Xenopus tropicalis: one gene and its partners. The protein of the gene in region 3 purifies or fractionates together with the protein of the main gene of each other region. This does not show direct contact. Links are inferred from orthologs where the notes say so. Each region holds a gene or a part of one and is shown on either strand. Other genes may lie near its edges. The genes, in order: anapc2, ube2s and cdc27.

Region 1 (3,649 bases), on a different chromosome or scaffold from region 3:
GACATGCTGGTATCTAGGCAATGGGGAGAGGCAGCTTATCAGACAGAGAGCGTTTATTTGTACATTACAGAGGCAGAGAAGCCTTGGAGAGTCGGCACGGGGAGACCCTGGGTTGGGTCAGGCAGCACCCTCATTCCCCTGGGTCAGCACCCACGTCACCCAGCCGTTACAGGAGTCTCTATTTACTGGGCTGGGGGGGTTGGGAAGCCAGGGGGGCTGGATATGTGGGAGACGTACAGGGGCAACAAATAGAAAAAAAAGCCTTCAAACAACACAGAGTAAAGTTCATTGTGTCCATTACACTATAGGGGGCAGTAGTGGGGTCTCAGCTGGAGTTCTTGGGCAGCCGATAGACCCCCCCAGAGTAGACCAGCTGGTGGTCGCTGACTTTCTTCTGGAGGAAGCTCTGCAGCTCCTGAATGTCGATCTCGGTGACGACGGGGCCGGTCATGACAAACATCTTGAGCATGGTGTGTATGCGCTCCAGGGGCAGGCTCTCCAGGTTGGTCAGCATGGCCTGTATGTAGGTCCAGAACAGCTACAGAACCCAAGGGCAAAGGGCATCAGTGTCGGCTCCGCCCCTCCCAGGCCCAGTACACCTTCAGTATGGTTTAGAATGCCCTATTCCTAGCAACTTTGCAGTTGGTCTTCATTGTTTGTTTTAGTTTCTGAATTATTTATGTTCTTTGCAGCTTTCAAATGGGGGTCAGTGACCCCGGCAGCCAAACCCTATTGCTCTGTGAGGCTCCAGTTTTATTGTTATTGTTACTTTTTATTCCTTATCTTTCTATTCAGCCCCTCTCCTTATTCATATTCATATCTCTCATCCAAACCACTCCCTGGTTGCTAAGGTAACTTGGACCGTAGCAACCAAAAACCTATTGCTCTGTGAGGCTCCAGTTTTATTGTTATTCTTACTTTTTATTCCTTATCTTTCTATTCAGCCCCTCCCCTATTCATATATCAGTCTCTCAATCAAACCACTCCGTGGTTGCTAAGGTAATTTGAGCCCTAGCAACAGGATAACTGACCCCGGCAGCCAAACCCTATTGCTCTGTGAGGCTTCAGTTTTATTGTTATTGTTACTTTTTATTCCTTATCTTCCTATTTAGGCCCCTCCTCTATTTATATTCCTGTCTCTCTTTCAAACCACTGCCTGGTTGCTAGGTTAAATCAGACCCTAGCAACCACATAGCCGCCGACATTCCAAGCTGGAGAACTGCTGAAGGAAAAGCCAAATAATTCAGAAACCGCAAATAATACAAAATGAAGACCAATTGCAAATTGTCTCGGAATCTGACTCTCTACAACATACTTAGGTGAACGACCCCAGTAGCTCCTCCCCTGCCCCCCCATACATACCTGCATCTCCTCTTCCTTCTGGTCGGCCTGGGAGGCCATGGCGGAATCCCCCTCCTCGTCGCTGTCTATTAACACCACCTTCTCGGGCCGATCTTTCTGCTCTTCCTCGATCACCGTGAATGTGCCGGGGGGATCCTCGCGGAGGACCCCGTGCTGAAGCCAGAAGGCCATTTTCTTTCTAAGAGAAGCCACGGGCACCTTCAGGACTTCACTCAGTTCCTCCAGAGTCCACGTGCCTGTGGGGGGAATGAACAGATCAGCACAGACAATATCTTGGAACATTACGGAACTACAACTCCCAGCAGCCTCCCTGGCGTTTCCATAGCAACATTACAGGACACTGCGGGGCACGTACTTTTGTTCTGGAAATGTAAGATGATGGCTGCGTGTACAGGAGACACAGGGAACGACAGGGTCCGGTCGGCCAGTTCCACATCCAGAACCACTAACCCGAGGTGGTGCTTCCAGTTCAGCGTGCGCATTGCCTATGGAGAGAGACACGGGCATCACTGGAGGGCACGGATGTGACTTTCATTACATACCTTATACTAAAGTACTGGGCCAATCAGAAGTGTGTATAATGTACAGCCAGTTCTTATTCGCTGCCCCTCTGTCCAATGACATTTTCCATATCATAAATGGGGTCCCTGACCCCGGCAGCTGACAATTATTCCTTTGTGAGGCTACGATTTCACTGTTATTATAAATCTGTATGACTTATTTTTCTATTTAGCCCCTCCTCAATTCATATTCCTCTCTCTCTGTCAAACCATTGCCTGGTTGCTAGGTTAAATAGGACCCTAGCAACCAGATACCTGCTGAAATTCCAAGCTGCTGAGAGAAAAAAGCTAAATACTTCAAAAACTACAGCAAATAAAAAAAATGAAGACCAATTGCAAATTGCGTCAGAATAGCACTCTCTGCATTATGCTAAAAGTTAAATTAAAGGGGAACTACCCCTTTAACGCTCACCTTGAGTTTCTCGTACTTCTTGGTGTACATGTCCATCACTTCTTTGATCTCATCAGGAAGCTCCAATTTCTCCTCCTTCAGCGCCGGCCAAAATTCACTGGACAGGATCACAGCAACGACATTAAATGGCGGCCGCTCTTCCTCTGGCAACTTCTCTTCCTCGTCTCGTATGTTAGAGTTAATCCTGCGGGAATCTGCCATGTCCTTGGGGGCATGATAACATGGTGCCATTATTTAGTCTTTAGAGACAGAGAGAGGGAGCACGAGAGAGAGGGGAGAAGGGAGGAGGGGAGGGAGAGAGAAGGGAGGCGAGAGAGGGAAAAAGAGAGGCAAGGAGAGAGATGGAGGGAGAGTGAGAGAGGGGGGGCAGGGGGAAAGAAGGAGGGGGAGAGAGGGAGGAGAGAAAGAAGGAGTGGGAGAGAGAGTTGGGAGGGAGAGAGAGAGAGAAAGAGGGAGGGAGGGGGAGAGAGAGTTGAGAGAGGTGAAAGAGAGAGGGGAGGGAGAAAGAGAGGGAGGGGGGAGAGAGGGGGGAGAGAAAGAAGGAGGGGGGAGAGAGGGAGGGAGGGAAGGAGGGGGAGAAAGAGTTGAGAGAGGTGAAAGAGAGAGGGGAGGGAGAAAGAGAGGGAGGGGGGAGAGAGGAAAGAGGGAGGAGAAAAAGAAGGAGGGGGGAGAGAGGGAGGAGAGAAAGAAGGAGGGGGGAGAGAGGGAGGAGAGAAAGAAGGAGGGGGGGAGAGAGGAGAGAGGGGGGAGAGAGGGAGGGAGGGAAGGAGGGGGAGAAAGAGTTGAGAGAGGTGAAAGAGAGAGGGAGGGAGAAAGAGAGGGAGGGGGGAGAGAGGAAAGAGGGAGGAGAAAAGAAGGAGGGGGGAGAGAGGGAGGAGAGAAAGAAGGAGGGGGGAGAGAGGAGAGAGGGAGGAGAGAAAGAAGGAGGGGGGAGAGAGGGAGGGGGGAGAGAGGGAGGGGGGAGAGAGGAGAGAGGGAGGAGAGAGGAGAGAGGGAGGAGAGAGGAGAGAGGGAGGAGAGAAAGGGGGAGAAAAAAGGGAGGGAGGGGGAGAGAGAGAGAGAGGGAGGAGAGAAAGAGGGAGAAAAAGGGAGGGAGGGGGAGAGAGAGAGAGAGAGAGAGAGAGAGAGAGAGGGAGGAGAGAAAGAGGGAGAAAAAGGGAGGGAGGGGGAGAGAGAGAGAGAGAGAGAGGGAGGAGAGAAAGAGGGAGAAAAGGGAGGGAGGGGATGAAAGTGGGAGGAGAGAGAGAGGGAGAGAGAGGTAGGGGGAGAGAGAGAAAAAGGGAGGGGGAGAGAAAGAGCCAACCAAAAGTCTCTT
Region 2 (4,197 bases), on a different chromosome or scaffold from region 3:
CATTCGAAAGATACCTCCTGCATATGGAGTGCCTTCTGTAAAATATTTAGAATGTATTTGAATAGTGGAGATTAATACATACACATTACAGAACAGATAGATAAGTCATTAAAAAATGTTGTCGCTAAAATTTACAAGTAGACACCCCTTTCCAACATTAATGTAATAATTAGGGCCTATGCTGAACATACTTTTTGCCTATTTAAATATCTATGGCTTTCATTTTATGCAGTTAACAGGGCAAAATCTGAAACTACCATATATAAGCAAGTATAAGCCGAGGTACTTAATTTTACCTAAGAAAACTGGAAAACCTATTGACTTGAGTATAAGCCTAGGGTGAGAAATGTAGCAGCTACTGCTAAGTTTCAATAATCAGTTAATAAAAGGACAACTCTGCGTGACCCCCTGTGAATTCTACATAAATATATAATGTTGGCAGCTGCAGATTGTCGAGTAATATATCTCCAGAACACTTATGTATTAACAATTAAAGCAAACTGTCATGATATAGTGATAATGGGGCATCTGTCCTTCCATAGGGCTTAGTGAAAACCTGGTGGGAATTATTTTCTACCATAGGTGAAAAAGTGCAGAATGCCAACACAGGTACTAGCTAGGCCCTAGCTTAGACGGAGGAGGAGACTGACTAACTCATTTATTTATGGCAGGGGTCCTCAAACTATGGCCTGCAGGGGGGCCATAGCTTGAGGACCCCTGTTCGAGCCTGTCAGGTTGGCAGGGGCAGCAGGGGGTCACACAAAGGGGGTCTGGAGGGACCCATGGCACCTGACACATTTTGGGTGCTGAAAAACTTGGCTTATACTCGAGTATATACGGAAAATGTAAAGTCAAATTTCTTCCTGTTTATACAAGTGCAACCAAAAGAAGCCCACACACCATTAAGCTCTGAAAAATGGGGTATACTGCCCCCTTTTGAGGCCTATGGAACATGACTTTTTGATTGATAGCTGAAGTAGAAATTGTACCTGGAAGAGACCAGACTCCTGTTTTAGGGGTTAGTCCCAGAAGAAAAACTGTAATGAATGTATACTGGAAAGTTGCTTAGTGCAATATTTTCTCTCACTATGCAAATATAGGTTTTTGTATACACCCATTTTACTAAGGCTTAAAACTACAGGTCACCTGAGAACTACAAGAGTTTCAATAAGGAGCTACTCATTGTTAGAAGACAACTCTCCTGCTTTGCAAATGAATCCAACATAAGATGGGTTGGGGGCCCTCAGTCAGCCCTAGAATTCTTACACCACCACCTAGAGGTGGCAGAAACCTTATGGAGCATAAGGAAGCGCCCCAGCTAACTTGTTATGTGTATAACGTATTATCGGGGGGCACTTGCTCATTAGGTCTATACCCCAACAGGGAGTTCTAGGTGTGCAACAGGGTTTTTTCTTTTGAAATATACTATTGTTTCCACCATACAGAGTGCAGGCTCTTAACATGCACCACTGGGATAGAGGGAACAATTTGTAGGCAATAGGTACCCTGTAAGAGATCTTTTACCAGAGGCCTGTGAAAAATATTTACCTTGTGAGGGGAATTTTAGAAACACCTCCAGTGATTATATAAACTTACCTGATAGCCTGGGCCAGAGATCCTGTTAGCAGAAAACTGCACAGACCTGAGGTACTTCTGTAAGTGACCAGTGTGAATGTGCAGTAAAGTTAAAAGCTGACTTTGTAAACTGCACTACACATGTGCTGGCCCGGGGCAAGAAGGAAGAATCGGAGGGTTGCGACAAAGTTTTCATACAGAAGAACCCAGGGTCGGTGCAGTTTTGAGACAAAAAATTGAAGATCTTTGGCAGTAACACTACTGAACCATACATTCCTAATTACAACTCAGCTATACCTCACCTGGTCCTTCAATGTTAACTTGGACATCAGTTATATCTTCTTCATTTGGAATGATCTTTATTCCTTCTGGAGGGTCAGATGTCAGAGTGGAGACTTCTTTATAGACCTGACGAATGATGTGTGGGGGCAAGTTTTCAACGTTTGAATTCTGTAAGAAAAAAAAGATAACTAATCATTACTAAACAATAACCATATCTAGTTGCTTTATAGTAATTAGTACCAACTGACTAGGAAATCCGGTATCAAAGCAGCATCACAGGCTGATACCTCTCATTCATAACTCCCAAAACCCAGCATTATGCTCATCATAAAGAACTGCTGGAGATCTAGAGTAGGGTATGATAACCAAATAAGACCAGTAGCGATATCACGGGCCAGACAAGGCAACAACAAAATCAGATGCAATAGTAAATGTATTATCAGATTGAAAATATACAGATATTACCATTTCCCTAAGCCAGTCAGGCCAACCTACAGGCCCAATTATACAAAACATTTCCCTGGTACCAGTATGACAGCTCCCTGACAGCTCAGATGCACATACAGAGTCCCCAAACTCATGGGGTACAAAGCCAGCGATGGAAACGGATGGGAGAAGTCAGAAAGGGTTTCGGGGAAGATTAGGAAATGTATTTCCTTCCCAGTCAGCCCTCAGAGGGGTAGAAGCTGAATGTACAGCACATGATGCTGCCAATCTAGGTATATACATTAGCAATGCTGCCAATCTAGGTATATACATTAGCAATGCTGCCAATCTAGGTATATACATTAGCAATGCTGCCAATCTAGGTATATACATTAGCAATGCTGCCCTGACACAGTGGAACTGCGCCTCCCCCGATCCCCATAAGAGCAGGAAAGCCCCGATACTTACCATGCCTCTCTGTGCCAAACGGGGGACGGAGGAGAACTGTTCAGCGCCGTGACGGTGTTTGATTCTCTGAGGCTGGGTACGAACAGTCCAGGCCTAACTGTAATTCTACCCAATTAAAAACAAAAAAAAAGGATATGACGTTGGTGAATAACACGGTCTGGGCCTAGTCCTGCATACAAGCGTCAACACTTATAGTTTCTTCTATTTTTTACTTTATTTTTTTTTATATTTCCTTCTTTGGTTCCCACCCCAGTTCCCAGACCCAAGCCACCTATCCTTCCTTTCACTCCCCCGGCACTAAGCCTCTCTTGCTTACCGACGCCCCTTCATATAACCTTCGGCTGCTTGTAGGCACGCCTCACTCCCACTCCGCTAGCTCCTCCAATCGCAAACGTGGCGCGTCACGTGTTTACACCAATAAACTGCTAGGAAATGGAACCCGCCCCCATTGAAAGTGTTTGACATTTGCGCTAACCAGTAACGTAGCAGAATCATTAAGTGACAGCCGTAAGAGGGAGGTTGTTAGGCTGTTACCGATTGGACAGTTTGAATATAACTAAGTGACGTAGCTGGATTGGGTGCAGTTATGTAAAGCGTACGTTAGTTTTTGTTCCTGGGGAAGTGAGAGCGCTGGGCCATAGGGTTTCCGGTGGTTGCTAGGGGGAATGGTTATAGGACGGCCGAGGTGTACAAGGCTGGTTGTTGCTGTTCTTACCGCCGAATGCTATTTTTAATAGTAATAGCAAAATAAAACTGCTAATAAAAACAGCTGTGTGTCTGCAAATGAAGCAAGTGAATATTTGTTATTGATATAGAGGCCGACAGATCTACATTTCAATTGTTCTGCGCATGAGTCTCAATGAAAGTGATTGGCATGTATTTAGCTGACAGGCTGCTGGACTAGGGCAGGGGTGTCTGTGTTGTAAGGGAGGCCTGCAATAACTGGCCAGAAAAGAAATAAGGATGGAATTTAATATAATTGCTTATAGTTTCTAGCGGATATCACCTTGTCTGAACAGTCTTGCATGTGTCTTGGCCACACTCCCACAGAAGGCAAATTCTGGACAATCAGTAGCCTGCAATGCTGCAAAGAGTATTTGTGTACAAGCCACAGCAAGCAGGATACTTGCCCCCTCATTGCTGTACAAGCCACAGCAAGTAGGATACGGACCCCCTTCATTGCTGTACAAGCCACAGCAAGTAGGATACTGACCCCCTTCATTGCTGTACAAGCCACAGCAAGTAGGATACTGACCCCCTTCATTGCTGTACAAGCCACAGCAAGTAGGATACTGGCCCCCTCATTGCTGTACAAGCCACAGCAAGCAGGATACTGGCCCCCTTCATTGCTGTACAAGCCACAGCAAGTAGGATACTGGCCCCATCATTGCTGTACAAGCCACAGCAAGTAGGATACTGGCCCCCTTCATTGCTGTACAAGCCACA
Region 3 (3,649 bases):
TTAACCACTACAATTTGCCTGTTATCTCTTCAACATAATGGCTTTAGGTGAATAGCCATTTCAGGGTGGATACACTCACTGTGTAAGATCAGGGAAAGGTTTTGTGCCCGTATAAACAAAACACCATAAAAAAAGGCTTAACTCTTTACTTGCAAAACAAAAAAACACAACACTTTAAGAAGGCTATACCTAGGCCATACAAAAGTTTAGTTTTTTTTTTTTAATAAAAATATTTTTGTGCCACAGGTACCAGACCATCATTGTGAGTGGGAAGCTTGAATAGCCGTTTTGAGAGATCGATCACCCATTAGAGCTGAAACTCAGGATTCAAGGTTTGTCTGACTGACTTCAGTGTCCATATTTCTACCCCATCAGCTGAAATCTCATATAAAGATGATAATGTTTTTGTAAACAGCAGAATCCAAAAGGGTAGAAACAAGAACGCCAGCAGTTAAACTACAAACCATTTATTCAGGGAAGTGGTTGCATAACATGTTTCGGGTCAATACCTTTTATTAAGTTTACACTTGTGTAAAATGTGTACAAATGTGAAAGTGTACAAACTTTCACATTTCCACGTTAACATGTGCTTAGTGTAGCTCCACACAGGCTGACAATGTGCAAGACAGGGAGCGGAAAACAGCAGATTCGCTTTTCCCAGCCTGCATATAAAATGGAGGCAGATGAAAGCGAAGGACCTGTTTTGTGTGTCCCAGCCTTTAATCTACTTCAGTCAGGCAATCCGTGGATTCTGGCAAATGTCAGAGGTGCTGCTGTAAGTTGCCAAAAACAGTCCCTATTTAGTAAGCCTGGGGGGCTTTTTTATTTGTGCATTTGTGTTACTGCTTCTTTATGGCATAAACATAATTTAACACAAAACAATCAAAAGACCGATGATTATTTGAGATCAAAGGCAGAACTTTAATCTCAAATACCACAGCCAAAAATCCAGACTTACGATAGTGTCTTGAGGAGTCTCCATTAACACTGTATCAGGTTGCCTATGTTGTACAACACTGTGTGTGTTCACGGTCATTGTGCAAGTGTTGGGCAGGCAGTTACTGAAGTTCTGGAGTGAGGTCAGTTTGAATGTCTGCTCAGGGTCTGGCTTTTCACCTTAAAATGCAATCATATATTTACTAAGCGTGGGTACAAAATATGAACTGGTCAAAGCAAAATTAGAAGACACATAAATACAGAGCCCTTGAATGAGATTTGACACATCAGTGCATGGAGAAAAAAAAATATGAATTGAATACAACGGACACATAAAAGATGTTTCATGAAGATGTGCAAGTCCATTCAAACATACCTATTTCACACAGAGACTCAAATGGGGACCACAGGAAAGGATTTAAACTAAGGCTCTTTTGGTAACATTCTGCTCCTTTAGCCAATCGATCTGTTTTGCTGAAAAGGGACGGAGGGAAAAGAACAGAATTATTTTATCAGTCCATCATGAAGTCCATCAAGAAAGAGGCGTGCTCTGTGTGAGAAAAATCAATCCAGGAGTGCATATTTTGAAAGACAGAGAAAGGAAAAATAAACCTTTAGAAATGCTGTTTGTTTAGCAGAGATATTTGCCTACTTATTTGCCCTTCATGTTCCATGCCTATGGAAACTCCCTGATGCAAACAAAAAGTCATGTACTGTTCACTGTAGCAGAGCGCTGGGACTATGACTATGGCCATATACTGCAGGATTCAAAAGACTAAAGGAGTAGTCTACCTTTAAACTAACATTTAGTATTATGTAAATAGTGATGCTTTTTTGTTTTTTAATTATTTAGGTTTTGTTCAGTAGCTCTCAAGCGTGGAATTTCAGTAAACTGGTTGCTAAGGTCCAATATCCTAGAAACTAGGCAATGGTTTGAATGACAGTAAGATGAATCGGAGATGGCCTAAATTGACAGAGAAGTGTAACTATAATACATTTACAGCCTGACAGGCAAGCAAAGAAATCAAATACTTTTAAGTAATGAAGACCAATTGAAAAGTTTCTAAGAATGGGACATTCTATAACATTCTAAACGGTAAACTAACCCTTTAAGAGAAATAAAGGGAACCTTGCATAAAAAAATTGACATGTAACTGGGTGTTACCTTGCTGATTAATAATTTTCAATAACAATAAATGACTAGGATACACTCCATATACAGTAATACAGGTATAGGACACATTATCCAGAATGCTCAGGACCAAGGGTATTCCGGATAAGGAGTCTTTCCGTAATTTGGATCTTCATACCTTAAGTCTACTAAAAAATCATTTAAACATAAATTAAACCCAATAGGATTATTTTGCATCCAATACGGATTCATTATATTTTAGTTGGGATCAAATACAAAGCACTGTTTAATTTTTACAGAGAAAAAGGAAATCAATTTTAAATCTGAATTACAGTGGAGGAAATAATTATTTGACCCCTCACTGATTTTGTAAGTTTGTCCAATGACAAAGAAATGAAAAGTCTCAGAACAGTATCATTTCAATGGTAGGTTTATTTTAACAGTGGCAGATAGCACATCAAAAGGAAAATCGAAAAAATAACTTTAAATAAAAGATAGCAACTGATTTGCATTTCATTGAGTGAAATAAGTTTTTGAACCCTCTAACAAAAAAAGACTTAATACTTAGTGGAAAAACCCTTGTTTGCAAGCACAGAGGTCAAACGTTTCTTGTAATTGATGACCAAGTTTGCGCACATTTTAGGAGGAATGTTGGTCCACTCCTCTTTGCAGATCATCTCTAAATCCCTAAGGTTTCGATGCTGTATCTGTGCAACTCTGAGCTTGAGCTCCCTCCATAGGTTTTCTATTGGATTAAGGTCCGGAGACTGACTAGGCCACTCCATGACCTTAATGTGCTTCTTCTTGAGCCACTCCTTTGATGCCTTTGCTGTATGTTTTGGGTCATTGTCGTGCTGGAACACCCATCCACGACCCATTTTCAGTTTCCTGCAGAGGGAAGGAGGTTGTCGTTCAGGATTTCACGATACATGGCTCCGTCCATTTTCCCGTTAATGCGAATAAGTTGTCCTGTGCCCTTAGCAGAAAAACTACCCCAAAGCAAAATGTTTCCACCCCCATGCTTGACGGTGGGGACGGTGTTTTGGGGGTGATAGGCAGCATTTTTCTTCCTCCAAACACAGCGAGTTGAGTTAATGCCAAAGAGCTCTATTTTGGTCTCATCAGACCACAGCACCTTCTCCCAGTCACTCACAGAATCATTCAGGTGTTCATTGGCAAACTTCAGACGGGCCTGCACATGTGCCTTCTTGAGCAGGGGGACCTTGCGAGCCCTGCAGGATTTTAATCCATTGCGGTGTAATGTGTTTCCAATGGTTTTCTTGGTGACTGTGGTCCCTGCTAATTTGAGGTCATTAACTAACTCTTCCCGTGTAGTTCTAGGATGCTTTTTCACCTTTCTCAGAATCATTGACACCCCACGAGGTGAGATCTTGCGTGGAGCCCCAGAGCGAGGTCGATTGATGGTCATTTTGTGCTCCTTCCATTTTCGAACAATCGCACCAACAGTTGTCACCTTCTCTCCCAGCTTCTTGCTAATGGTTTTGTAGCCCATTCCAGCCTTGTGCAGGTCTACAATTTTGTCTCTGACATCCTTGGACAGCTCTTTGGTCTTTCCCATGT

Evidence for each region.
Region 1: the proteins of cdc27 (region 3) and anapc2 purify together in Homo sapiens (affinity purification with western blotting; 20 studies listed by BioGRID and IntAct, with this or other methods). This does not show direct contact. The link is inferred for Xenopus tropicalis from reciprocal best matches to the Homo sapiens genes CDC27 and ANAPC2.
Region 2: the proteins of cdc27 (region 3) and ube2s purify together in Homo sapiens (affinity purification with western blotting; 4 studies listed by BioGRID, with this or other methods). This does not show direct contact. The link is inferred for Xenopus tropicalis from reciprocal best matches to the Homo sapiens genes CDC27 and UBE2S.

The regions. Positions count from the first base shown.
Region 1 is NC_030684.2:1,696,360-1,700,008, forward strand, and holds the end of anapc2 (anaphase-promoting complex subunit 2), read right to left. Parts: intron 2,539-3,649; coding exon 2,335-2,538; intron 1,848-2,334; coding exon 1,718-1,847; intron 1,599-1,717; coding exon 1,363-1,598; intron 539-1,362; coding exon 326-538; 3' UTR 36-325; downstream 1-35. UniProt on the Homo sapiens protein: Together with the RING-H2 protein ANAPC11, constitutes the catalytic component of the anaphase promoting complex/cyclosome (APC/C), a cell cycle-regulated E3 ubiquitin ligase that controls progression through mitosis and the G1 phase of the cell cycle.
Region 2 is NC_030683.2:106,141,935-106,146,131, forward strand, and holds the start of ube2s (ubiquitin-conjugating enzyme E2 S), read right to left. Parts: upstream 2,813-4,197; 5' UTR 2,755-2,812; coding exon 2,752-2,754; intron 2,026-2,751; coding exon 1,878-2,025; intron 36-1,877; coding exon 1-35. UniProt on the Homo sapiens protein: Accepts ubiquitin from the E1 complex and catalyzes its covalent attachment to other proteins. Catalyzes 'Lys-11'-linked polyubiquitination.
Region 3 is NC_030686.2:17,329,391-17,333,039, forward strand, and holds part of cdc27 (cell division cycle protein 27 homolog), read right to left. Parts: intron 1,411-3,649; coding exon 1,313-1,410; intron 1,117-1,312; coding exon 959-1,116; intron 1-958. UniProt on the Homo sapiens protein: Component of the anaphase promoting complex/cyclosome (APC/C), a cell cycle-regulated E3 ubiquitin ligase that controls progression through mitosis and the G1 phase of the cell cycle.